4 linked regions of the Caenorhabditis elegans genome follow. The protein of the gene in region 3 interacts with the protein of the main gene of each other region in a pairwise test. Each region holds a gene or a part of one and is shown on either strand. Other genes may lie near its edges.

Region 1 (6,394 bases), on a different chromosome or scaffold from region 3:
TCAATTGATATATTTAATAGAGTGCAGCGGTAAAATCTTTACACATTTCGTACGAGAGCACTTGGCACTGGGACATTGTAAATTGAACAGGAAAATAGAAATAAAACTATTATAGATTCGCAACAAATAGTCCAATTGACCATCAAATTTTAATACAATAACCACCGAATTGTCTTCCAGCTGACTGAGCACCTGTACGGAAACGATTTGATTCTTTTGAGAACGAGGAAAAGGGAGTGTGAACTTGTACATTTGCATGTCGTACTACTACATTTCCTTTCACTCTCTAAATCTCTCGTCTCTTCTACTATAAATCCCTTGAGGGTTATGCAGAAAGACCAATCCCCCCTCTCACTCGAAACCTCTCTTTTACACAATCGGCGTGGGCTGTTTACTTTTCATTAGTATCAACAACAGTGTTTCAGTTTTCGGTTCTTTTGAACTTTTATTTTGATTTGGAGAATATTTAGTGCAAGCACGTGGTGTCAGGTTGCCCCATTACAATTTGATCTACGAAAAATGCGGGTAATTTTTTCCCAAAAAATGTGACGTCAGCACGTTTATATCCATGTAAAATCAGTTGAAAAGACAGCGTCTAAATTCCCGCAATTCTTGTAGATCAAACCGAGATGGGACATCCTGACGCCACGTGGGCAAGCTTATTAAGCTAAATTTGCTTTTTGAAAATTTTTAGAATTTTTCGTTTTTTTAAGAAAAAAATTTGACATTTCTTTAGACATTTGTCTAAAGAAATTATGATACAATTTTTAGTTAAAAAACCCGATTAATTTCCAAAAAAAATTCCAGAAAAGTATAATCCCTCTAGAAATCGATAAAGTAGTCAAATATCTGAAATTGTCTTCTTTCGGAGCTAGCTTGAATATTTTTGTCAAAACCTCAAAACTTTTCAGAAAAATTTACACAATATTTTCGTACCTATAGAATTTCCAGGAACACCTAGCAGAATTTTTTAAAGTTATTTTGATCAACTAATAATTCAAAAAAAAGTTCAAAAACCGGAAAGTGTTCGAAATCATTCAAGAATGTGTGTTGTGTATCTGTGATTGTGCAAATAGTCTTTTGTTACGCTCGTTTGAAAGTTCAAATATTTGATTCTGTGTGGGAGGTCACGGGAGCACAACACCTTTTAAAATAGTAGCTAGAAAACTAGTTTTAAAACTTCTAAACTTTAAAAAAATCTGAAAAGTTCTAGTTTTGACCTTTTTCAAATACCAACCAATTTCACTTTGTCATGGCTTTTCCGTATGTGTCACCCTTCCCCTCGGAACAATATTACTCTCGACTAGCAAGCTGTTCATCAATCAAATTTCATGAGTTATGAGCGTAGATGCCATTCTGCGCTTTGTAAATACGTAAAATTCAAGGGTTAGCTTTTTATGCGATTTATACTTTTTTGAAAGTTTTGAAAGTCTGAAAATTTAGCAAAAATTCAAAAAGAAGGATATGCTTAAAGCCCTAAGAATTTTTCGTTTTAACCTTGAGGATTGGTCGAAATTTAATGAAGGTCGAAGAGAAGTCTGAAATTTTGGAATTAGATACTTAGATACTGGAGACGAGCCTAAGCATAGTCCTGAGCCTAAGAATAAGCCTAAGCCTGAGCCTTTAGACTTTCTTGTGAAGCCTGAATCTAACTAGTAACCCTCCTAATAAGCATGAACTCTGAGGTAGAAGTGGTGCTCTTGAAGCATAAAAAAACAAAAAAACTCAAGTGCAATATTGCAATATCCATTTCGTAGTCCTCTCGAATGTCACTCACCCATCAACATTGTGCTCGCGGTCAGTAAATGCAAATTGCAATCCTTGCCTCCCGTATGTTTTTCACACATTTTCCTTATCCATCTGCGTCTCCTCGTCTCCCGATTCTCGCGCATTGACCACCACTGACCATGGTCTCGCAGGAGAAAAGGCGCTTCCTGTCGTGTGTTCTGCTCATTGTGCAGCACTTTTGAAGATTTTGCAAAATGCATATTTACTAGGAGAAGCTTTGTATAAAAATTTCACTTACCATTTAACCTCACTTCAGAAAAAGAAATGTAATTGACCCCCATTTTTCAAGGTTTCTTTGTTGTTAGAGTCTATTGTACTAACTTTTTTTATTCTTTTAAGTACTTCACACATTTCTTTGGCAAATTGGAAAAATGTTGAAAAGGGGGTCTGTATTAAGTGCTGGTCTGGAAGTAGCCATTACATAGCTGAAGCAAAGTAGCCGAGACGGCTAGGTCGACAGACTAGTTCTGTTCTTTCTGAATAAGCTTTTAAGAAATATTTTTATAGTTTGCTTCTAATTGTAATGGCGCTCGGCAGGCACTAGGCATGCACTAGGCAGACACTAGGCAGGCAGAAGGTAGGTTCTAGGCAGACATTAGGCTGGCACTAGGAAAGCACTCTGTAGGTCGTAGATAGGAAGTGCCAAATAGGCACTAGGCAGGTGCTAGGCAGACACTAGGCAGGCACTAGGTAGGCATTAGGTAGGCCCTAGGCAGACACAATGTAGGCAACCCCTCCTCGGCTTATCATTCCCAAAAGCTCTTGAAAAGGAAGATGTTTTTTTCATCATGAAAATTTTTTCCGCGATTTTTTGGGGAAGTGTGTATGTGGTGCGCAGTATAAACATTCGCCCCAATCATCATCAATATTATTGTGCTCTTTTTCCCACTTGCTCTCTCGGGGGGCTCCACTCACACATTCAAATGTTGAATCAAGCGATTAACCCATCGAGAGTTGTTGCATGCATCTCCTCTGTTTTCTTTTCCTCTTTTTCTCGCTTTTTTTGAAAAAAAAACTCTATTTTTAGATTAATAAAACATAATCAAATAAATATATGAAATTTACAGTGTCTGGGGGTAATCTGAGCCAAAATCTAATGTCCAATGCACCATCAACGACGACATCAGAAGCCCAGAAGATCGCGACAACGACGACGACGACGAAAATGCGATTGCCCAGTGTTAAGGAACTTGCCAAGAGGTAAGACAGCATTTTTTATAGGATTTTGTAGAGTGTAGAGATATTTTAAGGTTACTGTAGAAGTGGTACTATAAGGTTTTTGGGGTACAGTACTGCAGGGTAGTAGGGTATAGTAGGGACACTGTGGGGGTACTGTAGGAGTACGGTAGGAATACTGTAGGGTACTGTAGGAGTGATATAGAGGTATTGTAGAAATACTGTAGGGTGGACTACTTCAGGGGTACTGTAGGTACTGTAGGAGTACTGTAGGGGCAGTGGGAGGCTTTCACAGATGTAGTGCCGGTAAGGGCACTGTAGAGGAACTGTAGGAGTACTGCAGAAGTGTTGTAGGAACCTGTTCGACTATTTTAGGAGTACTGCATAGGTACTGAAGGGACAAAATGAGGCTTTTACTGTAATAACATCTGTAGTACCAGTTTAGGGTACTGTAGAGGAACAAATTGGAGTACTGTATAGGTATTGTAGGAGGATAACTGTATGGGTACTGTATGAGTACTCTAGGATAACTGTAGGGGTACTGTAGGAGTACTGTAGCTTTTTCCCACTTTGTACGTGTCATCGTTGCTTATTTTCAGCCAAACTTTTACCAAACATTTATTTTTGAAAAACTGTCCCCGCCTGCTTGTTGACACATAGATTCTATCCATTTTTTCAAAAAATATTTATTTAAGTTTAATTTTGGCAGCTCATATCTAAGTTGTCATAGTTTTTTATCAAAAAGTTCTTAACTGAGAAAATCTTGGTTTTAAATTTTCCAATAGTTTTGCAATTGACCAATTTTGGATATTTTTGAATTTCACCGGAATATACATAAGCTGCCAAAGTGTAGAACACAAAATTTTCATACCAATAGAATAACCAGCTAGAAAATTAACTTTTCTCTTGTCCTATGCTTCTTCGTTTAAAAAAAAAGTTTTTTGTTTATATGTCTGCAATTCAATTTCTGTATGATTGTCAAACAAATACTACTTTTCCTCCTCCTTCACACACTCACTCCAACACAGTTGTTCTCCAGCCAACAATAGCAGCACATTACCCTTCGGTTGATTGACATAATATATTGAAACCGGACAGGAAGAAAAACGGTTGAAGAAGTAAAGAGAGACCGAGGGCGTCGTCATTTCTTCCAGAAGCTTCTTCGTGGGAAAATTGTTGGAGTTTTAGAGATGGTTCGGAGAAGTTTGGCAACTTTTTATGAAGTTTTACTCTAATATCAGCTCAACTTTGAAAGCTTAAAAAAGCATTAAAAATGTTCAGAATCTTTTGGAAACTTTCTCCAACTTTCACCCAAACTTCAACTTTAGGATGTATATTATTTGGAATTTACCATCTCCTAGCTTTAGCGCCTGCCTGCCTAGGAACCTACCTACCGCATCCCTCTCTTCATTAGTACATCTCTGAAGAATTTCCAAAATGTGTATGTCTCCCCGCTCCCCCTGCCTTATCACCATCATTTTATTATTATTGTTATCAAATATTCCCACCACGCCTCATCACTGACCACTCCTTTTTACGATATGGTCATTTGGAGAGATTGTTAAACAATTTTTGAGTTTGCCGAAACGTTTCGTTTTTTGTAGTATTATAGAATGTAAAATTTAAAAAAAATTGCGCCAACCAATCAGCGACGTTAGCCACGCCTATTAGAATACGCTGATTAGTCGGCGACTTGTTGAATTTGCAATTTTAAAATTGATCTTCCAAAAGCTATTTCCGATTTCCAGATTCGAAACCAGCACAAGCCGAATTGAGCACCACAAACCGGTGATCTCCAAACGAATCGGCAAGTTCCGGGTAGTGGAAAACCTTCACGAGTAAGTAATTTTCCTCTTCAGTTTTGCTCTTAATTTGCTTGTTTTTCAGGCCGTGCACATCACGAGTGCTACGTGGAAGCGCCATACCGCGACGGAAAAGTTCGTTGAAACGACGAACGCGGAGCAACTCGGAGCTCGCCGTCCTGGTCACATCTTCTGAATTTCGGAAGAGCAAATCCACTGGCGACTTTTCACCGACGGGTGCCGGAGCATCGGGTGCTCCAATTGTGATAACACCGCTACCTGCACCTAGATTACGGTAGGTGAAATGAGGGGTACTGTAGGAGTACTGTATGACAACTTGAGGGGTATTGTGGATTACTGTAGAAGAACTGTGGGGGTACAGTAGGGCTACTGTAGGGTATTGTGGGATACTGTAGATTAATGTAAGATTACATCGTGGGTACTATAGGAATACTGTAGGTATTCTGTAGGGGTACTGTAGTAGTACTGTAGGGGTACAGTAAGGTTACTGTAGGGTATTGTGGAATGCTGTAGGAGTGATGTGGGGTACTGTAGGGGTAATTTTAAAAAATAATGTTTTTAATCAAAGTTTTAAAGTTGTTCTGAAAATTTTCAGTCTAAAACTTTATTTTAAATAATTTAGTTTGAAATACTATACAAAAATTGAACTTTTGGCAATTTTGAAGCTTTATAAATTTTACAACAATAATCTTTTACAACAATATCTTCAAATAAAATTTCAAAAAATTCAAATTTAAAAATTTCAATTCAATTTCTCTTCAAAACATTTCAGTTTCCAAAACCTTCCGGCTTTCAAAATCTTGATTAAAGTTTTGAAAAGTTACTTTTTTTACTTCAATAGAATACAATTTTATAAAAATACAAAACAGACAAATTTTTAAATAGTTCTTTATAAATAAAGCAAAATTTCAATGAAACCACTTCGAAAAACCATTAAAAATTTCAAACAAAAAACTAATTTCTAAAAAAAACTTTTTTTTTCAATTCCACCCACAGTGACTCATTTTTCGAATGTTTCAAGGTTCTCTATGATTCACGAATCAGAAATGTAAATAAGAATCCCTTTCTATTTCAGTCTTCAAACAACAAGCATGATTGTTGAAAGTTCCCCTTCTCCATCTTTCCATTCCAAAAAAGATGGTCACCCAGTGTACGAGGAGCGGTGTCGAGTGTCCTTAACAATTCCAATTTCTTCGTCAGAAGATCTTTCCGCTGTATCTCCACCACCACCTCTACCATCTGTACCTCCGTCTAAGGAGAGGATCAAGAGGATTCCTTCCTACCTGAAGCCTACTCCCGCGCCGAGGTCTATGTCTGCCACGCTGCCCAGGGCTCGTCTGAAGACCCCACCACCTCCACCCCCAGTTACCAATCAATTTGACACCCTGCCGGTCAGTTTCCGGAGCAGCTCAACATCCTCCAGCACAGGAGGTCTCCCGAGAATCCCGAATATCCCCGTCCCAGATGTCCCTTTTATTCCACTGGATGACGACAACTGTTACGATGAAATTATGCTGGTCACGCCATCATCAAACACATGTATACCTACACATCAACGTCTAGAATCCGAGTACACCTATGAATCTCAGTCTACCGACTTTTCAAGG
Region 2 (6,609 bases), on a different chromosome or scaffold from region 3:
TGGTAGTAGTTTGTTTCGGGACGAAGACGAGAAACGGCGTCCCGTCCCATAAACCTCTATTATATTCCAACAGGAAGATGAAAAGGGTGTGAGCTATTTAACCAATAGTTTACAACTAACAATTATATTGTAAAACTGTGGAAACTATGCCTTATGTAAACTTGAAGAAATCAAATCGAATTAAATGGATGTATGAGTTAACTTCAACATCAATAATTATTGATGAGTGTGAACGGTGCAGAGCACAGTGTGGGTAATGACGGTGAGTTGGAGGTTCTACAGTGCCGCCATCGGAGCTTGCCGACGCGCGCACGGAAAGCGTAAAAAACAGTCGGCAAGACTCTACGAGACATAAATATCGTTTCTATTGGTGGGCAGCGGCCGCACGTGGTCTCTCGCGGCTTGTTGTCGAGACAATCAAAACAATAAGAAAACAGTAGGAGACGGCACACGGCTCACTATAGGAAGCACTCGAGAAATCGAGATCTATATTGCGAAAAGTATCGGAAGTACGGGAATCAAGCACAGATAGTTGAGCGTCATGATCTGATCTTTCAGTGGAAATCGAGTGTTAATGATCAAGAGCAAGAATATTATATATATAAAATGGCTAAATTTGTTAAATTCTAGGATCTATTTGGAATACGAATTTGACAGGTGCAGAAATTAATATCCCTGAATCAGAAAGAGCCCGTGAGATAATTATTGGATTTAGAGAGTCTATCAGTTATTGGTAACTGTACACTAGGTAATGTTTCAGAGTAAAAATGAGGCAAAAAGAGAAATAGAATGAAATTTGAATTAGTCTATGAAACATGAACCTATTTAAATTATCAATTTGATAATTTCAAACAAAGATTAATATTTCAAATATATTCTCCTTTTCGACAAGAAGCTTCTTTGATAGGATAAAAAGCTCAGCAGGAGGCCCTACGATGGGAAGGAACGTGTATTTTGGAACAAAGTGTGGATCGTTGTCGTTGTCTTCGTGCTGGTGGTGTTCTGTTCAATTGAAAATCCCGAAAGTGAAACATGTCGTAAATGTTGTGTCTATGCGCCCTCATGATGATCTGACGAACTTCTCGCACAAAATTAATAATGAAGTAGAAGAAAGAGTGAATTAAAAATTAATTCAAAACAAACGAAAGACGCTTTTGAACAAACTATTGAGGAATTTAGCAAACATAAAATAATAGAAGAAAATCTGTTTTGATTTTAATTTCTACGACAGTCACCGACAATTCGCATTAAATCGCATACCAAACTGAGGCGATTCGGACAACGATTGTGTTGATGGTTGTTGGTGTATTGAAAAGCATGAAACTAAGCTGAATGTATTTAACGGAATAGAAAAAGGATTCAACTGGTCGACGAAAAGTTACAGAATGAAAAAGTAAATGTCAAAACTTCAACACTTCAAACCTATGCAAGAGATGACTTTTATATTACTTAAATCGGTTTCCCTTTCAATTGGATCAGATGTGGTAATAAGAAAAAAGTCGTGTTGGCGAACGGAAGATAAAAAAAAACAAGTGTTTTCAAAATGATGATATCACATGTCACATTTTAGCTTTAGAACTCTTTCGGGCCACCGGAAGAGAAATGAACATTAAACACCGGAAGAGAGTAAAGAAAAATTTCGGCGAACCAAACATGTATCCCATTTTGACCGATCAAAAAAAAATGTTTTACTTAAATGAAGCGATTCTCAAAATTTCTAATCAGTTTTTTTTCAAGAATATTTTAAAGAGTATGGCATTATTTGTAGTGGCTGCCACCATAGAATAGTATCTTCTGTCATAAAATACTACAACAACAATCATTGAACAGTCACCGACAGCCTCGCGAAGATGAAAAAATACTTTACAATTGTAGAATAATAACGCTTAACACGTAATACATATCATTATGCATAATGACTTGACGACAGTCTCGATTACACTACAAGAAAAAAAATAACATCTATAACTTTATGCGACTCTACGACGACAACATAGAAAGATGATGGAATTGAAAGAGAAGAAGCCGAGAGAAGCGTACGCTCACACACGCGTTCACTCACACAATTGCGCAATTAATTTAGTTGTAATACGCGTTGCCGACGTGCGCAAGACTATGCAACGATGAGAAGGAAGTGAGTGAAAAGTGAAAAAAAAAAACAAAATTTATAATCGAAAATTAATCGACTGACCAGTTTTTTTTTGGCGATCTTTCCTTCACAGCCACAGATTTTTTTTGATAAAATAATTAAACAAAAATAAAACAGTTGTTGTCTATTATCAACAAAAAATATTCGTGTACGCTAGAGGAGGAACTTTTTTTTACTTTTTAATATTCACGAAGAGCTTTTGGCCAGTGGGTCAAGAAAATAAAAATAGAAGAGAATTAAAATGAAGAAATAAGTCGGAGAATCCAATATAGGGGAAAGCTTGAATGATAAATCGAGGTTAATCGGCAAGGCGCGTACGGCGTACGCACACGAATACTTCGTCTATCTTTCTGTGTCTCTCTTCAAAGGTCAGACTTTCTGTTACGAGAGAAGAAGAAAATGAAGATGATGAGAAAATTGTTTCAATTTCGTGGAGGGCAAAAGTAAGAAGGGGAGAACGCCAATTGGCATCTTCTTTCAATTGACCGATCCACGAAGAGCACTCACTACTATCAATGATATGTGGTGATTAGGTACCGAAAGATAAAAAAGAGAAATTTTTAAACTAAAAGTGGTCGTGAACCTATGGAAAGACTATTTATCATCAGGAATTTGAATTTTTATATTGACTAAACTATTTTATGAAAATGTTTTTGATAATCTTAAAGGAGGATTTCGAAAAATGGGGATACATTTTTAGAAAACTCTGAAAATTCCAATTTACTGAAATACCACGAAAGAAAAAAGAAAAAATTACTAAAGATCAAAAATTCCAACTTTGAAAAGTGTGAATTTACATATCTCGAAGCCACACCCAGTTTCGAACCAATCAGCGTCTTCGTCTGATTGGTAAAAAAGTGGGCGGAGCGAAATGCTGATTGATCGCAGTTTTATTTTTGGAGGAAATTAAAATAGGGAAAAAATTGAAAAAGAGCGTTTTTGAAAATTGGAATTTTTGATCTTTCTTAATTTTTTCTATTTTTCTTTTGGGAAATTTCAGTTTGTAGGCATATTCCGAGTATTCTGGAACTGAATCAAAAATTTACTGATTTTATTTCCATCAAAAATTTACTTGATTGGTATAAATTTTTCCGAATCAATCTCGATCAACTAAAAAAAGCAAGTCATTTTGATCCATCTGAAGGTATCACGCGAGACTAATAATCTCTGATGCATTCCTATCCGTTTCTGATCTTCGACAATCTTAACCAATTCAAACCAGGACCTATCTTAAAATATAATATTTTTATCATTATTTTATGGCGATTGTGATGCGTTGATGTCTGCCTACCTGACTTATGGCCCGGCAGAAAAAAAAAAACAAAACGTGACACTTCAAATCAAAATTAGATGACTTTTTTCTACGCTAAGATACGCTATTGAGGTGTTCTCTCCTTTTCTGACTATCTTTTTTTGGGAAGGTGATGATACAATTGCGTGAGATGCAAAAATTCAAAGAATTCCGTTACTCTCCCCGCAAAAAAACTACAAATTATCAGAACCTAGCCATCATCCATCAAACGGATTGTTGAGATGAAGGGAGAAACCAATTGAATTATATGAAGAATTTCCGTTATCGAGTTTTCTTTTTCAATTTTTTCTAATAAAATCTTAATAGCATTTCCGTTTCTTGAAAATTTTGTTCCGCATTTTTTCATTTCAAACAAAAAAAACTAACTCGTTGATTTGCGGAGATGAACGGAGCCGTCGAAGATTTATGAGCCATCGTAGATGCCATTGATGACGTCGGACGGTATATTGGGGCAGTTGAAACAGTTCGTACAGAATCCGACGAGTGAATCAGAGACACCTGGAATATGAAAAATGGATAATCGTCAAACATCTGCTAATCTAACAGTAGACCTTAAATATTTTTTGAAAAATTTTTATCGACACTGAAATTTTTATTTTTAGATTTTTTTTTAAACAAATTATGATTTCGTCACAGTTCACGTACTTCATGAATCACGTGAATATAAGATTTACAAAAATAGATCAATCCCTTTTTGTAACAATTTGAAAAATAATTAATCTCGATTCTCACCTGTGTGACACCGTTGTTTGCCGGGTACCCTATACCCCCTCCGCTACTGGTCGTGACCATCTCGTTGAGAACTGAGATCTGAAAATGGAGGGAAGATTAGTATAATTTTGTTTGAAAGGATTGAGAGAAAATGACAAAGAGCAAACGTGAATCGTAATACTGAACTTTTCTTTAAAAAATCCAAAATTGTCTAAAATTCAGAAATGCCACAGAAGAAGAACGAATAAAATCGAAGAACAACGAAAAATTGAATTTTTAAATTTTGGCTAAATTCCATGCTTGAATTTCCAAAATGAGAATTTCGACCGTTTTTTTTCGTGAAATTTATGACAATTTTCAATTTTTCAAAATAAAAACAAACTTCTTTTAATTTTTCACATTAACACGGTGGTTTGAAGATATTATAGAACAAAAATAATATTTCACCGCCATTAAAAATGATCAAAGAGGAATTGAACCATTGAAACAGAAAAATCAGGAGAGAGTCCAAAAACATAACAATGAAAATTATCAAGTAGCCGTGTTATTATAGTTTTCTGTATCTAATTACGAATTATTATCATTTCGTAATAATACCGTTTAATCAGTGATAAGGTGTTAATAACTTACATATGAAATTTTGCTGAAACTTCAAACTTGCTGATAAAACGCCTCACATGCTAAAAACGTAAAAAAGAACGAGCCGTAACAAAAATAACGAAGAGAAGGAGGACCTGCGATTGAATGATCAGAGGAGCGCGCGCGCAAGGGAGCGTATGCATGTGTTGGTTCGAAAGATGACGACGAGCCAAAGTAAACACGGCCTCTTAGATATTGGGGTCGTCCCTCTGTGCCTCTCTCTATTCGCTTCGTTTATTATCAACAAACTTTTCTTATTTCTCACAGTCTCGTACCACATATCTTCAAAAAGAGACTTGGCACAATGCCAAAACGGCTTTCGGTGTAGAATGAGAGATACACAGACATTGAAAAAGAGATCGGGGACATCAACCTTGAAATGGATCACCGGTTGATTAACGACCAAAAATAGGAGAAGAACACCGGTAAATGTGGGTTGCTAGTTATGGTCCGTAAAAAGTGAAGTTGCGAAAAATTATTTTTCTGATGATCAAATCGTTGACAATTGAGCGAAAATGGGGGCAGAAGTAGAAGAGTGCATGATGAATAGAGGAAGGAAGAGGTCCACTTGAAATAATTCCGAAAGTGGCCTATTCAGTCGAGAATTGGCTGCTTCGGAAGCAGAACAAGCACAAAAGAGTGGAAGGAAGAGGAGAAAACTCAATTTCGACAAATTCTTTCTCTTGTCACTAACGAAACTCGAATGGTCATCAGGAAACGAAAAGGAAAAAGTAAAAATGTTCCGGTTCTTTTAATTCAGGATTTTATTTTGAGTTTTTAAAATAGGTTCGCGGTAGAGAAAATTTTTTTTAATTGCATCGATTATATAAAATTACAAATCAAGTTTGTCCAAATGAAAAGAACATCATTGTTTTGTTCGCTACAAGGAGAAAACTAGAAGCGAATTGGAGCTTTTGCTCCCGCACATTTCAATTGTTTGAAGTGGGAACAAGAAGAGTGCACTTTCTATTGGAAATGTGCTCAATGATTGTTTTTCTTTGTCAATAACTTAAAAGTAAATTGAAAGCCGTTTAAATATTTTAAGTAAAAATTAAAATTCAGAGTTCCTTATCCAAAATAAACAAAAAAAAGGTAGAAAGAAGGAAGCTGGCTGAACCAATTTCTCATACGGACCGTTCGACCGTTCGGGCGTGTCAACGATGTGAGTACAGGAATGGAGGGACGGAAAAGGTGAGCACGGGAGTGCATTAGAGAGAAGATACGCAGAATGAAAAGGCACATGAGAGACATAGTTGATTGAAGAGACGCAGAGCATAATCGGTTCTGTTGAATACAGGCAAAAGAAAAGGATATTTGTGTGCGTTTGTTGTGAGGGCAAGAAGGTCAGAGGAGAGCGACCGTTATTCTAATGAGAGAGAGTGACTAGGAAGACAGAAGAGACGGAGAGAGGGAAATATGAAAATACGTCATTTCTGAACTGATCGCCGGAAATGATTGAAATATTGCGCTATAGGTGAGATCTTTATCACAGAAAGCGAAAGCTAGACATCCAAAAAGTAAATACCTTCGGCGCTCTTTTCTCCTGCGAAACGAGCGAGCTCATCGTTTTGCCCACAAGGGTGCGGAAAACTTTTTCTTTCGGTTTTTTCGCCGAAAAGGGAGAAAAAAAAATGTGTGATGAACAATTCGTGTTTGTCTTCCAGCGATCAGTGTGACGAAAAGAAAAACTGAGAAAACAGCTGGTTTCAGTATTCAAAAGATGTATTGTTTAAATTTCACTGTGAAATAAAGAAAACACAGTAGGAAACGACTGAAATCTGATATTTTTACGTTAAAA
Region 3 (8,369 bases):
ACCTGATCCGCATAATGAGGATCCGTAGGTTCCAAATATCCATTTTTCTTTTCAGAGAAACCATCATGTGACCAATATGAATGATCATATGTAAATCGTTTTTCATCGTTTGTTTTAGGATCTCGAATAACTGTTGTTTCCTCATCTGGCATTTCAATTACCAATTTGCAATTTCTTGTCTTTTCTCGATCATTGAAAGGTCGAACCCGAACTGCTACGATTATGGAGTCACCCTTTCCCATTATTCTGAAAAGTTCAACTAATAAATTTAGAACTAAATTTGGTTGGAAAATTTTTTTAAAGAAACATTGGAATATCTTCGTACTACTACCGTACTACAACAAGGATCTCAACTATATTTTAAAAAAAATTTTTAAAATTAAAAAATGTATATGAAGGTATTGCGTCGCAATAATTGGTTGGTATTACGGGAACAATAAATCATGAGAATGTGTACTTGGTGCATTTTATTTGACGCGCGATATCTCTTAGCGAAAACTACAGTAAGAACTCAAATAACAATAGATATTTAAGCTCTTACTGTAGTTTTCGATAAGAGATATCGCGCGTCAAATAAAATGCACCAAGTACGCATTCTCATGATTTATTGTTCCCGTGATATGAGAAAAGGATTTAGTTTTTTTTTTTAATTTACAGATTAAAAGTATAATAATTGAATACTTCTATCAGAGAGAACAAAATTTGTAAACAAATCCGAACGGAAAAATGTTTTTAAAATGAAAAGGACAAGAAAATAAATGGAAAATTCAGTATAGAGTGTAGTAAAGCGTGGAGAATGGGACCCTTCTTCTACATACACGTGGAGTCAATGTTGCCATGTAGGTCTCCAAGCGACGAAAGGAAACGGACCAAACGGTGTTTGATGTGAAGAAGAAAAATTTGTATGAAGTTGTATTTAATGAAGATTGAAGATTGGAATCAGAGAACAAAAAGTTGAATAAATGCACAGAATTTCTGAAAACAATTGATTTTTTGATAAAGCCTCGGATAGTTTATTTCAACTTTGACAGCATTTATCCGATTTTTTACTTATGAATATAATTATCCAAAAAACCCGAATATCGTAGCAAACTCCAAAACGTGTTAGATATTTAAAAGTATCTAGTCATTTTGGCAACTTACCAAACTTTCCAAAATTTGAGATTTTTGAACAATTTAGAGCCAATAAAATGTTGAAATACGAATATTCCAAAACTTCTCGAAACAGGTTTCTAACAATTGATTCAATTGATACTGCCTACAGTAGTCTTTGCGGCATTTCATAACTTTGGAGTGTCAGTGATTTACGGAATTGACCAGAACCTACATCTCTGAAATTCTCGTTATGTGAACAAAAACAATTATATTTCCCATTTTAATAGATTTATTCGACCAAAAAAACAAAACGAAAAAATAATTTTAAAAAAGCAAATAAAAATTATTGAAGTCGTCGACTCTGAAAAACGGGGGTTTTATGATTTTTATTTTCAATGTGATAAATTGGAGGGTGGAAAAGGAAAAATATATATAAAAGGTATTTTTAAAAATAATTTGCTTTATTTATAGAAAATGTATAGGTGAGGTTTTGAAACGGAATCACAACCAAGATTTGTTGAAATTGTCTGGGACGTTGGGGGGGGGGGGGGGGGGGGGGGGGTGTAAGCTAAATGAAAACTAAAAAACCCATAACGAAACAAGAAAACAGGAAAACTTTGGTATGCTTGAAAATTTTAAAGCATATGGAAAAATGCTTTAATGAATTTTTTGGTGAATTTTATAATTTCTGTTAATATTTTCAATGACTAGACAATGCCCATCAAAAAGGCTCAATAAAAAAACAATTATGTTCAGTCGAACGGCTCCTCTTTTTTGATGTCACTGTCGTTGAAGAATGATGAGTTGTCGAGTGATCGAGCTGCGTCGGAAGCACACGCAGAATGCACAATCTGTAATGAATCTTGATAAATTCACGAGTTTTGAATAACAAATTTTCACCTTTCCGTGAACATTAACTGTGTCCCTTAATCGCCACGTTTCCTCGTCATCATCATAATACTCGTCAAACTTCTCACCACAAACTGAACATTCTTTGGTTTTAACACCGGAAGATGCTACTCCTGGAAGTGGTTCCTCGGGTTTATCAGCTTCTTGCTCATTCGTTTCATCAGATGCACGTGGTGTAAGCCAAGTGGATGTCGATGGATACCACTGACGATATGGTACAGCTGCCGAATTGTTCGACCCGTGGCGTGCCAAATTTTGCTTCACATGCCAATCCATATGATCTTGCCATTCTTTTGACTTTCCTTGAGAATCATCTAATCTCATTCCACAAAACTTGCAAGCGTCGGCTCTCTTGGTAATCAACGCGTCAACGACCGAGTCGTAACGAATTTGCAAGAGACGAATATTGAAATCTGTGATGGCCGCCGGTGGAGCACTTCGCTTCTCAACACCACTTCCAATTGGAGATGGATCAGATGGTGGTGGTGGTATATTCTGCTGTTTATTCGCTCCACCCCATCTAGCGTTCTGTTGTGGTTGATGACGGTTATGATAACCTCCTCTCTGAAAACAATAAATTATTTAAGAGACTGTAATCCTGATAGTTAATTACCTGTCCAGCATTATTCATTCCCGGAATTGGAAGATTAGCTGGTGGTGGAGTCTGGTTGCGTGGCGAAGATGGCGATCTGGCCGGAGCTGGCAATATATTACGAGTTCTCAAATTTTTCAGATATGAGAGCCAATCCTCCTTCTTCTCCGGCTTCTCCGATGCAATTTCAATCTTCTTCTCCTCGCGCATTTTGTGCAAGAAATGAGTAAGATGATATGCTGGCTCAGGCTCAATGCGAACTTCTGGAGCACTTCCAGTCAATCGGATCTCATGACGACGTCCATTGATCGTTGCAATGATCGGTGGTCCTCCAAATTGACCTGAAAGTTCGAATATGAATTAAAAACTGTGAAAATATGTGTATTTACCTTTGAATGGGTGACCACCAATGTAAAGTTCGCGGGATGGTGCTCCGAACTTGACCATATGCTTTGATCCTAATATGTCAATTTGAGTTGGAGTGTCAAACTGAAGCAAGTGTGGGATTCCATCAATTACGAGGTTTCTTGGCGGTCCAGCGAAATAAATACGATGTGGAGCACCACCACGCTCGATAACTGCAGTATCATCGACAAACATCACTTCATAAGCTTTTCCATCGACAAAGATACGGTTGTTGGCTGGAACATCGAGTTTCGGTTGTTCTGACGAGTAAACGTTCTCTGGAGCTGGAAGGTGTTGCTGTGGAGGTGGAGCTTGAACTGGAACGATTGGTGCCGGATCTTGTGGAGGCGAATTATGATGATATCCTCTTCCCATTCCTTGATGAACTGGTGGAGGTGGAAGTTGTGGATGATGTTGTTGAGGATGTTGGAATGGAGGAGCAGACGAAAGTGGCGGAGCAGGCACAAATGGAGCCACTGAAACAGGTGGTGGCACAGGTATCATAGGACGGATCGGAGCAGCTACAGGGGCAAATGCGTGAGATCCTATCACTGATGTTGGCCTGCAAAATTTTCGATTTTTAAAACAGTTTAGACTAAATACTCACTTCAAAGTCTTTGGTCGGAAATCTTGATCTTGTGCTGATGGAACTGGCGGCTTCTTCGTCAAGCTTATAGATCTGAGATCCTCATCAATGGCTGTCTGTGGCTTTGGTGGTTGTTGTGGCTTCTTGCGAATCGGAGCATTTGGATGCTCGGATGGTGCTGATTTTCGCTTCAATCCAGCCGGTGATGATGATGTCTTGGATGCAGAGCTTGATGGAAGTAGTTTGTCACTGGAAAAAATGTTTTGTTAACTGAAATAAAACTAATCTTTTAAGCGTGTTATTTCGGACTAGCTGATCATGACAAAATTACTGTGAAATTTTATTCAATGTTACACTTTCACACAGATTTATTTTATTTTTTTTTTCATTCATTTTGTTTCTGAATTACTTTTTTTCAAAATTAAAACATCGATTCTTCTCATTACATACCAAATTGTAACACCAAGACACGCCTAAGACATTAAACTTACAGTGGATCCTGTTTTGGTTCTTTCTTCACTTGCTTTTCCTTGTTTACTGTGCCAGGTGATTTCTGTAATAACATAAGCGGTTTCAACAAATATCCCACCCAATTGGAAATAATTTATTTGAACAGTGACGAAGAATATTGTGTTTTTTGCCAATTCTGTCGCTTATTTTCTCAACTTCCATGATTCCGGTGAAAAATGATAGATAAAGCATTTCTTTTTTTTTCATAATAAATAAACGATCAGATGATATGTGGAAAAATAAAGACAAAACATAGAAAGTGATACATTGAAAAACGTGTGAAAATAAAAGTTCACAAGAATATTTTACCGTTTTTTCCACGACCGTCTTTGATGCTGATGCTGCACCAGGTGTGGATGAACCTATGAACTTTGGGTTCACAAATACACGATTCGTTGACGTGGAAGCCGCTGGACTGGTGGCATTGCCTGCTGGTCTACTCTGAGAAGGAGCCATAACTTGTGGATCATCACGAAGTGCACGACCAGTCTGTGGATTTGAAATTGGCCAATTTGGGTCAAGCTTATTGATCTGAAATACAAATATTAATATCATTAGCAATGATATTGCGAAATCGTAGCTCGATTTCAGGATCTGAAATTGAAAGTTTACCTTCATGTCAAGCTCATATAACTTTGAAGGCATGAACAATGTGGTGCTGGCCCATGTGACTCGTATCCTGTACAACGATGTACGGATTCTTTCATCTCCCTGAAATGTTTAGAATTCAAAATGATTTCGAAAAATAATTGCAAGCGAAATTAACGTGACATACTTTGTAGATATTTTTTGCGAAACTTCATTTAAATTTCTCAGCTATACGCGCTAAAATGTCGTGCGAAGTAGCAGGAAAAAGTTTTACACCGAAATTGGAAACAAAACGTTTTAACTTCTCAGGACATTTTGTGGAAAACTACGGTACTCAATCGCGACAAGACCCGGTCTGTAGCTGAGAAAGTTTTGACCTTATCTTCTAGATCCAAAAAGGCGCGCGAAAAATCTGTTAACTACCGCAATGAAAGCTGGCGAAACGTTGTTGGATTGCATTTTTGCGTGCTTTGCTAGATTAGACTAAGCCTTCCGTGAGGGTAAAAAAAAGGTAGGGCACGTTGATACCCTTTTTTACCCTTTACCCGAACAGGGTATTTTATGGACACATTACCCTATGCCTTCACGTAATAATACGAATTTTAAGCATTATTCGCTTTATTTGTAAAATTTTCGTTTTTAGAAATGAAATTTCTAAGAAAACGTTAAAAATGAATTAATACAGGGTAAAACCAGGGCATAGGGTAGGGTAGGGTAGGGCAGAGGGTAGGGTAGGGAGGGTAAAAACTCACCCTCATGGAAGGCTTAGATTAGACAGACCGATGTTTTTTAATTTTGATATATTACCTGTCGGAAAGCATGCTCGAACATGCTTACGATTTTCCTTGCAAACAGTGCATCATAATCGTTCGGCTTCTTAACGTTCTTCAAAATCGAATCACACACGTACATCACTAACAGTTTTTGTGAAGGAGAACACGTTGTCAGATGCCGCTCAATAACTTCAACAATTTGTGGAGCTGCTTTTTTGAAGTCGTCAGCCAGAATAGTTAGCAGATTTATTTGAGTCTTGTTGTTGTTTCTCAATTCGGCCAACGTCTCACGATAGTCTCGTGCTGCCGATTCGACCGATTCCATCATGAATATTGATTGTGATATTTACGAAGGTGAATAAAATAACCCGGATATTCGTTTTCACGTGCTGAAATTAATTATTTTTGAAAAATAAAAACTGCGTGAAAAATACAACGGGAGAAGTCAACGAGATTATAGCACCGTCCCGAGCAAAAACTAAATAACGGCGGGCAGCTTCAAAACTTCCGCACGAACATACAGGAAGTTGTGATGCTCCAAACGCGCAGGCGAGCCAACAGCTTGATACAACAAGCGCGAATATTATGCTAATCGCAACTGAAGAGTAGTCAAGAAACCCAAAGTCTAGCTGACAAAGTGACTTTCCATATATTTTTATTATTTTTTAGAGAAAATGAGGACAAAATCATAAAAGGAAGGGGGATAGGGGAATGGGAAGGGAATGTATATTTTTTAAAGGGTGACTGCACACCGTCTGAGGTCCGCCTCTTCTCGCACCAAACAGTCTGCGCGCTGTCTTTCGAGTCGAGTCCGGCGTATCTGGAAAATATTGATTAGTGACGTGAAAAAATGGATCAATAAACGCAACAAGAAACGAGGAGGTAAAAACAGAGAGAGAGAGAGATTGTGGATGGAATGAAGGAAATTGGTAAAAGGAGATGATGGAGGGGAACATGTACAAGAATTATGTGTATTAGCAAGTAATTTTAATTAAAATAAGATGACAAAATCAGTTAGCAAAAGCACATATAGAGAAAATTGCAAAGAAACGGCGTTATATTTGAAGAAAACTGGGAGAAATGAACGAAAGAGACAGAAAACAGGCAAGAGAGACAAAAGCGCGTGGTAGAGGCGTGTCAATCGATTTTGCGCGGGTCTCGCAGCGACCGGGTGAGTGTGAAGAGGCGCAGAGAACATTTTCGTAGCTGCCAGCAATTGATTCTTGCTGTGAAACGGCTGACGGGAGCCAGGAGGTTTTTACTTGTTCTGATAGTGAGGAATTTTTTTAAGTATGAGAAATTATATTAAAGAGCAATTCCCGAAAAATTAATTGACTTCAAAAAGCATGGTACGTCGCTTTTAGATAAGGAATGTGTCTTTAAATGTTCAATACAATTATTTGTACAAATTCGGATGAACTCGCTTCAAGATTTTAATCGAAACGAGTTTTAATCCATATTAATTTGAAAGTGAGAGTTGAAAAAAAGATGCAAACGAAAGAAGAACGGGACAAGAGCGAAGAAGCGAAGCCCAATGATTCGAAATTTTGCGAAGAAAACGGGACATCGGTGTTTCGCTACCGCAGAAAAATATTGAGAAAAATAGTGAAAAATAAGGATACCGATGCTGAAACGGCTAGTTTTTATTCAATTAGAACATAAAAGTTTGAATCTACATTTTTATTTAAGAAGCAAGAAAAAAAAATTTAAAATTTACAAATAAATACTCTGATTACAGTGTCACTAAGTTTAAAAAAATCAAGATTTGTACTGTAAAACCTGCGGTGGTGAGTGTGGGAATTCCGGTGGTCCATAAAGCTTTTCAGCGCGGTGCAAAAATGCTGAAACCATAGTTTTTACGACTTTATCGAAGAAAAGATGAGCGATTCTTGAGTGAAAAGCTGACTCGAATTCAAAAACTAAGTCATAGTGAAGAGTACATGAGCGTTCAACAGATGGTTTTCCCTGAAAAAGGTGAACGTTAATAGAGGTTTAACAAAAATTGATGGAACGAACTTTTCCAAACCGGAACGTAGTGTCAAGTGTGCGGAAGAGATTATCATTTTCTATGACGACAGACTGTAAACACATAGAATATCGAAAACCGAAACCTTCTTAGAAATCTTTGAATAAACTAACATGAACAACAGATGGCTTAATGTGAATCACACGACTCGAATATTTCTCTGAAAGTGGTGGAAACCCAATTTCCAGCGTCGCAATCTGTGAGCTTTCGTGCTCGTGGGTTACTGTAGACGACCGACACCATGGAACAAAATTGTGATAATCGGATACATCAGACACGACTTTAAACATTTCGTCCCGGGAAAATCTAAAAATTTAAATAATTTTCGACGTCTAAATACTTCAAATTACTTACCCAATCAATCGTTTTTCCGAGTATGCCATCTCACTGGAAAATCTTCTCTGATTTAGGATCAGGTTTTGCCCGAGACGACGCAATAACATCTATTTGATAAGTTTGTTTTTCAAAAAAAAATTCATGAGAACAGATACAAAAATTTAGTGGCTCGATTTATACGATTGTAAGGGATCAATTGAAATCAGGGAAAAAATCATCAGAATTTACCCGTTTATTAGGATTTTTCATGAAAATTAACAACGTCAAGTGTCATAAGTATATTCATCATCTTCGGGATTATCACTTTCCAAGAAGGGATCCAATCCATCATATTTAGGGTCACCAGGCGGTCTGAAAGATTTTGAAAATTTAAAAATAAATTATAATCGAGTCAAAAACCAACCTATTATCATCATAAGCCATCCTAGCCTTTACCAATCTCCGAGCCTTTGGTGCATTTGGAGCAATAACCGATTCCACTTGAAGCATACACTGACTGTTATGCTCTTCGCCGATTTCTCGATGTGCAAGTGAAAGGTGCATTATTTT
Region 4 (8,326 bases), on a different chromosome or scaffold from region 3:
AGCATGAGTTTTAGATTTTGAGCGGTTTTTTTCTTTTAATTCCCTGCTTTCCCAATTTTTTTCAAATATCCGCAAAAATATTCCACATTTCTATTTACTATCACATGATCCTACTACTAATTACTTTTAAATCGAATCATCTAGACTTCCTCAACTTCATCTGACTCATCTTCAAATGTAAAGTTCCTCGGCGTCTTTCGCAATGTTCTGAATGTTGTCGATTTCCTCGCGTAACCTCTGCTATCTGTTAACGGGTGTCTTCTTATCAGTTTCACTTTTTCTTATTTTTTTAGTTGTCAATCTCTTGCTAGTAGTTCCCTGATTTTTGAAGAAAAAAGCTCGTCCCAGAAATCTTGCAGAGCTGGAAAATCATTAAAATCCATATTCCTTCTTTGGAAGCGGTCATTTTCAAAACTTGTATATCGATTATATCTTCAAATTTTAATTTTTTAAAATCATTTTACCCAGTTGTAAACAAGTTTTTCATGAACAAATAAAAAACAGCATGAAAAGCATAATCTTGGTAGACATAAGGGTTAGAATTTTGCCTAAAATTATAAAAATGGACCGAATAAATTCAATAATGTAAAAAAAATGAACAAACATTTCTCAAGTTTTCAGTTTTCCATAAAAAATTATAAATTTATGTAAAATTATCGATTTTTAGACCAATTTTGAAGATTTTCTTTCGGGTTATCAAGTTTTCTTTACGAGAAAATGTCATAAATTTTTTTGCAAAATTGAAAAATCATTGGTTTTTTTTCTTGAAATTTAGAATAATTTTATAAATTTTTAAACACTTTTTTAAAATTCGACCATTATGCTCCATTTTCTAGCATTTTAAGCAACCCCGTCTTTAAAAAGCTGCATTTAAATTATATTTAGCTTTAAAACTCTTTTTATGCTAGGAAAGTGAAATTTCGTTAATCATTATCCAACAAATGCTCTCTGTCGGGATAAAATTTAACTTTTCCAATTGTTTTCCAGATTTTTCCAAGTAGCAACCCTTGAGTGTGCCCAATCATTATGCCTATCCACACACACAAACATTAAGTAGTGGGTAGGCTAGAGTCTTTCATGCACAAGCAAATATACACCGATTCGTCTTTTTTCCCTCTATCTGCCACATAGATAAAAGAAAGAATAACCTTCTCCTCCCCCACAACACCACCACCACTAACGGCGTCTTCTTCGTCTCAGTTTTCTTTGCTTTACGTAATCTACGTCTTCTATTTTTTCGGGGTGCTCTCTTCGGTTGGAACTATGTGTGAGAGTAGTGTGTTTCGTGTGTCTGTGTGAGTTTTTCCTCATCTTTCTCTCTCTTTTCGCGCGGAAAGAGGGCGCCCGAGGTCGGAGAAAAAAAATGAAAGGCAGAGAGGATGGAGGACACAGAGGAACGAAACGAAAATAACTGAATCGATACATCTGTGGGGTTGGCGGTGTTGAAGAGAAGAAGACGAAGAAGAAGATGAGGGGGTGGAGCTCTCCGTGCACAACGGCTTCTCCTCCCCCATCTTTCTCTCCCGTGCTTCTCCTTTTACTAGAGTCCGGCGTTGTGTTGTGTGTGTGTGTCCCCGCCTTTTTCCGGAATACGAAAGTAGGTCTAGTTAATGGTTAACTACCTCTCTTGCTCCGAAGCAGGCTTTTTCTTTAATTGCTTCTTGCAACTTTTCTGAAGCTCTACCTTTCTACTGGGAACTTGTTTTCTTTGAAATTTAGAGTTTTTAAAACTTCCTTCAGTTCTCATTCTCATGCTTTATAACCATAAAAGTGTACATCAGAATAAATCCTAGATCATAAGATCATTCACATTAGCATTTCTTTTTGGAATGCTTTTTCCGAGAAAACTGCACTTTTGAGGATTTTATCTTCGAACTGAAAATTCGAGTTGTACTTTTGAAAAAGTTTGTAGCGATCTACCTGATGTCAGTTTTATTTTAGATTTCCTGCACAGTTTCTTTCATGAATTTATAATGTTCAACCTTTAGTTCTCTCAGTTTTAAGGTTTAATGCAAAGTTTTACATACAGCCTGAGGGTCTGTGGATTTTTTTGTTTTAATTGATAGAAAATACCAGATTATACCTATGAAAAATAGTTTTTAAATTTCAAAATTTGATGAAAAATCCGAAAAAAGTGCCAAATTTTGCTTATAATCGAAATTTTTCTAGAAAACCGACCAAAATATACAATAAAGATAAATATTTTGATTAAAAAAAACTGTATTCCAACTGCTGAAACAAGGGTGGAAATTATTTTTACACTTTTTAATTTATTATTACAAAATCATTAGAATTTATAATTTTTCAACAGTTTTATCTGATCTTTAAGTGGTATTTTCTTTCATTTAAAATAAAAAATCCACAGGCGAAACTCCAAGAATTCAAGAAGCTCATTTTATCGAAACTTTCAAATCTTGCTCACCGTGATTCCCAAGTGTTTTAAATCTAAAGGAAAATAAGTCTGGTTTTTGAATATTTATTTTCAGTTGTTTTAATTATCAATTAATTAACATGTTATTCCGAATCTAAAACTCAAAATTTTCAGAAAAATGTCGTTGTCGGGGTTACGTAAGCAATTCAACAAGGCGAATCAATACCTTTCGGAGACGATGGGCGCCGCAGAGCCAACAAAACTTGACGATGTGTTCAATGAAATGGAGAAAAATGTGGATACAACGTATAATTTAATTACGGATCTCGTCGCCGGAACAAATGAATATCTTCAACCAAATCCAGCTACTCGAGCAAAAATGGCCACACAAGTTGCCCTGTCAAAAGTTCGTGGAACTACAAAAACGTCACCGTATCCACAAACAGAAGGAATGTTGGCTGACGTCATGCAGAAATATGGACAACAATTGGGTGATAACAGCGATTTGGGAAAGGTTTGCCATCCCTTTTGGAATTTTAATTTCTGAAAAAAAACCCATTTTTTAGCAACATTTGTCAATATTTGTTCTGTGAGCAATTTCTGAAAATGTGACCAAAATACAGCAAAAATAAAATTACTATTTATTTTGTTTATATTAATAATTTAATTGAAACATTAGGTTGATATTAGAAAACCACTACTTCGGTATTTTTTAGATTAAAATTTTTTGCACGGCTTCAAAATCTTCTTAATCATAATTTTAAATTACAATTTTTTTCAATTCCAGAGCCTAAACGATGCTGCAGAAACGTATCGACAAATGGCTGATATCAAGTATCAAATGGAGGATAATGTTAAACAAAACTTTCTCGATCCATTAACACATTTGCAGAATAATGAGCTGAAAGATGTGAATGTAAGCTTTTTTGCGTAAAAAAGGGTTTATTATTAATTCATTATTCAGCACCACCGCACAAAACTGAAAGGACGTCGACTTGACTACGACTGCAAAAAGCGTCAGCAACGACGTGATGATGAGATGATTCAGGCGGAGGAGAAGCTGGAAGAATCAAAGCGACTCGCTGAAATGTCAATGTTCAATGTGCTTAGTAATGATGTGAGTTTTACGATTTTTTTTTGGAAGTTTTTACTATTTTCCCCTATTAGACTTGCTATTTGACATCGGTTACCCTTAGTTTTATTTTTAAGAAGGATTATTCTCAAACTTACGAATATAACAAAAGAAAAACGGGAAAAATCCGTTAAGATTTCGAATTTTTATGTCAGAAAAATCAACGAAAAACCTTCAAAATTTAACTAGCGAAATCATAGGCCACGAGGATTGTTCGAATTTTGATCCTGTTCTATACTATGTTTTTAATCAGTATTTTATACAATTCCTTTCAATATAAGCTGTCAAAGTTTAATTTTTTTTTAATCTGCTGAAATTTTTTTCCACTTCCCCTTTTAGATATAATCACAAAAAAATTCTTTTCAGGTCGAGCAAATATCTCAACTACGAGCCCTCATTGAAGCCCAACTCGATTTCCACCGACAAACAGCCCAATGTCTCGAAAATCTACAGCAACAACTTGGCCATCGAATCAAAGATGCAGCTGCCAGGCCTCGTGAAGAGCATGTTCCATTATCAGTTCTTGCAAATGAGAGCAGAACTCCAAGATCCAGGTTGGTATAAGCATGAAGAGTGAGAAAATGCATGTTTGTTGTGAGATTTTGAACGCTCAAAAAGACCTAGTTTTTAAAAAACAGCTAATTTCTTGAGATGCACTTTTGAGATTCAGCTGAAATCTCCAATTTCGCCAACATTTTATTGAAATGGAGCTGCCCCAAAAAGCTGAATAAACTACCAAAAAAAATGTTGAATATTGGAGGATTAATTGAAATTTCGGGCCGCTGTGGCACGGAAAAATTGGCAAAATTGAAGTTTTTTAAAGCTAAATTTAGATTTTTGTTTTCTTCTCAAAACTTTGAAACGCCATGAAAATTGTACGAGAAGTTAGAATAGAATTAGTTATTTTTAAGAAATTTTGAATTTTGAGTACAGAGATTATTTCATAAATCTACCTGAAAATTAGTTTTTTCAAAAGATACGAAAAAATATATAAAGCCGGAACTAGGCGTTTTCCATTTTTGTTTTCGATTTAAAAAGGTCCCACGCATCATAAAAAGAGAAAACCCCCTGTGCTCTTAAGAAACGGAAAAAGCACTGAAGCATCATTCACAAGTAATAAAAAGGAGGAAAACATATGAAGCACAGACATAGACATGCAGAGTCTATGATTGATTACATCGCATTATGTCTTTTTACGGCCGGAGGAATACTTTTTTGGAAGGAATATGAATGTAAAAAGATCGTTTAATGACTGATTGACACGAAAATATTGAAAAATTGAAATGTTTTCGGTGTTTTTTAAGCTAGACTAGTTTAAGTTTTTTTGAAAGTTGAGAAATTTCAAAAAAAATTATTAAAAGAAACAACGTAAATTTTGATTTTTGATTATCTTTGAAAAAACCGAAAAATTGAAAATTATTCTACGACACAACCAAAAAAACATTCTAAATTTAATTTTAAAAAAATAAGAATTAAATTTCGTTACAGTACCCCCCGCTACAGTACTCCCTGATTCATATTGTGATTGATTTTTTATTTTTTGCATGCTAAAAGCCTCTTCCAAAACATCTCTTCAGTTTCAGATCGCCTGCTCCATCGGATATGAGTCACAATTCTACGGCAGCCGCAGCCGTACGTTTTTTTGTTTCAGAAAAAATTGAAAAAAGTGCGACTTTTCAACAAAAAAAACACGAATTTTGGAGATTCAGTTTTTCGGATTTCAATTACTGAAATTTTTTGGAAAATGGTATAATTTTAAAAAAACACTTGTAAAAAGACCGGAAAATGTTTAAAAAATGTTTTTGAAACATTTATTGAAAAATCAAACTTTTCAGATATTTTTCGAGACGAGAAAACTGAAAATTCTTGATTTTTCAGAAAGCCGAAATATTGATCAATTTTCTGGATAAAATTAACCAAATATTTCAATTTTTTAGTTTTTTCTCATAAAAAACATATAATTTTTCTTTAAAAAAACAGAAGTGTCTAAACTTTTAAAGAAATTTTTCGCAAAATCAATTTCTATTCGAACCGACAAAACTAAAAATTTAAAAACGAAAATTCCAGATTTTTCGGTTTTCCGGAAATCCTAAAAATCGGAAAAATATTGGGAAAATTGACAAAAAATTTCAAACTTTTAAAAATTTGGTTGATGAAAAAAAAAAGTCAATTTTCTTCTTAAAACGGGTAAATTTTCTCGAAAAAAAACTACAAATTAAAAAAAACCAATTTTCTAAAGTCGAATTTTTTGTTTGTTGAAAATAAGTTACTTTTATAAGAGAATTGTGTATTTTCCCATCAGCATAAAAAATTTGAAGATTGAATTTTTTAAATCAATTTTCTAAATCGAAACTATTCGTTTTTCAATTTTTATTTTAAAAAATCGAAAAAGCGATACCCTTGATTAGAATATTTTGTTTTTGAATAAAAACCTAGTAATTCAATTTTCAATCCAATTTCTAATATTATGTCCAGTTTAAGATGCCACCACAAAATGGAGGAGGAATAACACAAGCACCACCATCATATCAAGGACCTCCACCAGGTGGACTTCCACCTCCACTCTCCCAGCAGCAGAAGCCACAATGCAGAGCTCTATTCGATTTTGATGCTCAAAGTGAAGGAGAACTGGATTTCAAAGAAGGAACACTGATTGAGTTGGTATCACAAATTGATGAGAATTGGTACGAAGGACGTGTGAATGGAAAAACTGGATTATTCCCTGTTACCTATGTACAGGTTCTAGTGCCTCTTAAATAAAAAAAAATGTATTTCTCCCTCCAAAACCCAGTCAATTCTTTCCATTTTTTGCTGTTTTATTGCCAATTTCTCGTTTTCTCCCCAACTCCAAAGCCATGCTCCTCATCTTTGTCTCTTGAATTTTATTTCACAAAAATATTTTATTTCCCTTTCCAAATCTCACTTTTTCTCTAGGAACCCCTGAAAAGTACTCATTTAGAAGAGAATGGGCTATGGTCTCTATGAGGCTAAAATAGTTAATTCTCCTGATCCATTGTGCCGAAATCTTTGTATTTATTAAAACACTACTTGCTTTATATACATCCACTACTTTCCCCCAGTCTGCCACACCCGATGCGTTTTCCAATAGCAATACCCTGACCCACATTACCATGTATTCTATGTACTCTCTACACTACCAAAAATGTGCATTTATCAAATCTCCCTTAAAATAGCAGCATGTTATTAGTTTTTTTAGCTTTATTTAGTAACTTATTTTCAACATCAAAAAATTCATTGCAAAATTACTTATTTTCGTAATTACTTATTTTCGAGTATATGAATTTGATTTTAAACTATTTTTTTTTTGAACTCGGAGATGGAAAAAAGTCAAATTTCTTGTCTTATCAATTTTAAAATTGTTTAAAAAAAGAAGTGGATGAACAAGAAAATCAATAAAAAACTGAAATGAAAACGAAATTTCGAAATATCCGGAATATTATATTGTCCACGAGGAGTACTGTAAACAGACACCCAGTTATGTTATTAGTGACGTCATATACTTGCACCATCTGCTCTCATACCTGTGCACCATATATCTCATCGATTTTTTTTTGAACATGAAACGAATGCAACTATCATTTCGTCCATTTTCTTCACTATGGAATTCAAATCGAATTAAAAAAGGTAGAAGTTGTTCCAATCAGAAGAAGGTAAATTAAATTAATTTTTATTTGTTAGATCAAAAACTATAAGTTTCAGAAATGTAACTCTTTCAATCTACTCCAACTACCATACCTAGCATTTCGAATTGTTATTCATCAATTAAGTATTTTTTCAGTGTAAGTTATCCCGTGGTGTCAGACTGTCCCATTATGGTTTGATCTACAAAAAAGGCGGGATTTTTTTGCCCAAAAAATGTGACGTCAGCATTTTTTTAACCATGCGAACCAGCATGGGACAGCCTGACACCACGTGAGTTATTCCAACATTACATATCGTACACCCTTCAATGTTAGTTATAACATAAAATCACATAAAAATTACGGACAAATCGAGCGAGAGTGAGATCAACTACATTAAAAACGTTTTAATTTTAATTTTGGCTGAATTTTTTTTTAGAAAATCGCAGTTTTAATAGTTGTATTTTCAATTCTTTCTCGACGCTCTAGAGTATTTGAACAAAATCCCAATCTACAGTGTTACAAAAGCCAGTCTGAGACAAATACTGCCCAGTTACGGAAATTCGTGATTCTTGACCGGTCTCGGCACGAACGAAATTTGTAGCCACTGTACCCAACAAGAGTTTCGCAATTTGCTTCGCTCTTTTTCTTAAAGGTTTGCCCAAACAATATGGTTGAGCCCCCGTAAAATGCCACGCGATACTGGTAAAATCTCCAAATTATTGCTGGTACGGTAGCTGCTAATTTTTGGTCGTTTCGAGACGCGGTGACGTAGCGCAACTGGATAATAGAGCAAAAAGCAATATTTTTCACAATTAATTAAACAATTAAGAATACGATCAGTTCGATCAGTTCAGTTCTTTTAATTCCTAGTTAACCTTTTTTCTCAAGTTTTTACTTTGGAAATACATTTATATTTGTTGATGTTTCAGATTACAATTATCTCAAATTTCAAGAAGAACTTTGAAGAAAATACAACAAGTGAATCGGAAAGTTTATAAATTATTGGTCTACAACCATGAATTCACGCCTTATGGTGGCCAAGAACATCTTAAGACTTATTCAGTTCGGCAACTCGTTGTTATCGAGAACATAAGTGATTATCAAGAATTTTATGATATGATGTGGTCACAAACTACTGTATCCTATAGATTCTTGACAACTCCTCCGGTGACATATTGG

Evidence for each region.
Region 1: the proteins of pcf-11 (region 3) and ephx-1 interact in a two-hybrid assay, tested with the Caenorhabditis elegans proteins (one large-scale study listed by BioGRID).
Region 2: the proteins of pcf-11 (region 3) and ape-1 interact in a two-hybrid assay, tested with the Caenorhabditis elegans proteins (one large-scale study listed by BioGRID).
Region 4: the proteins of pcf-11 (region 3) and unc-57 interact in a two-hybrid assay, tested with the Caenorhabditis elegans proteins (one large-scale study listed by BioGRID).

The regions. Positions count from the first base shown.
Region 1 is NC_003280.10:4,002,030-4,008,423, forward strand, and holds the start of ephx-1 (SH2 domain-containing protein), read left to right. Parts: upstream 1-2,884; coding exon 2,885-2,988; intron 2,989-4,712; coding exon 4,713-4,802; intron 4,803-4,851; coding exon 4,852-5,061; intron 5,062-5,862; coding exon 5,863-6,394.
Region 2 is NC_003283.11:11,673,606-11,680,214, reverse strand, and holds the start of ape-1 (Apoptotic enhancer 1 protein), read right to left. Parts: upstream 4,278-6,609; 5' UTR 4,254-4,277; coding exon 4,194-4,253; intron 3,960-4,193; coding exon 3,828-3,959; intron 2,221-3,827; exon of another isoform or gene 2,016-2,220; intron 503-2,015; exon of another isoform or gene 295-502; intron 91-294; exon of another isoform or gene 1-90. UniProt on the Caenorhabditis elegans protein: Negetively regulates apoptosis via its interaction with cep-1.
Region 3 is NC_003281.10:5,022,822-5,031,190, reverse strand, and holds pcf-11 (Polyadenylation and cleavage factor homolog 11), read right to left. Parts: upstream 5,848-8,369; 5' UTR 5,784-5,847; coding exon 5,493-5,783; intron 4,809-5,492; coding exon 4,710-4,808; intron 4,629-4,709; coding exon 4,407-4,628; coding exon of another isoform or gene 4,161-4,406; intron 4,141-4,160; coding exon 4,079-4,140; intron 3,837-4,078; coding exon 3,609-3,836; intron 3,564-3,608; coding exon 2,986-3,563; intron 2,938-2,985; coding exon 2,618-2,937; intron 2,569-2,617; coding exon 1,996-2,568; intron 1,947-1,995; coding exon 1,848-1,946; 3' UTR 1,544-1,847; downstream 1-1,543. Other genes in the region: klp-6 (Kinesin-like protein), read right to left, coding at 3-242; R144.13 (Coenzyme Q-binding protein COQ10 START domain-containing protein), read right to left, coding at 7,217-7,423, 7,475-7,537, 7,598-7,790, 7,839-7,867; R144.3 (C2H2-type domain-containing protein), read right to left, coding at 8,084-8,171, 8,224-8,369.
Region 4 is NC_003279.8:4,672,590-4,680,915, forward strand, and holds unc-57 (Endophilin-A homolog), read left to right. Parts: upstream 1-2,545; 5' UTR 2,546-2,549; coding exon 2,550-2,885; intron 2,886-3,158; coding exon 3,159-3,287; intron 3,288-3,335; coding exon 3,336-3,488; intron 3,489-3,869; coding exon 3,870-4,057; intron 4,058-5,080; coding exon 5,081-5,135; intron 5,136-5,978; coding exon 5,979-6,263; 3' UTR 6,264-6,818; downstream 6,819-8,326. Other genes in the region: T04D1.2 (F-box domain-containing protein), read left to right, coding at 7,082-7,174, 7,224-7,303, 8,077-8,326. UniProt on the Caenorhabditis elegans protein: Involved in synaptic vesicle (SV) recycling in neurons probably by regulating clathrin-mediated endocytosis. By controlling SV endocytosis, regulates the rate of excitatory postsynaptic currents (EPSCs) at neuromuscular junctions and thus locomotion.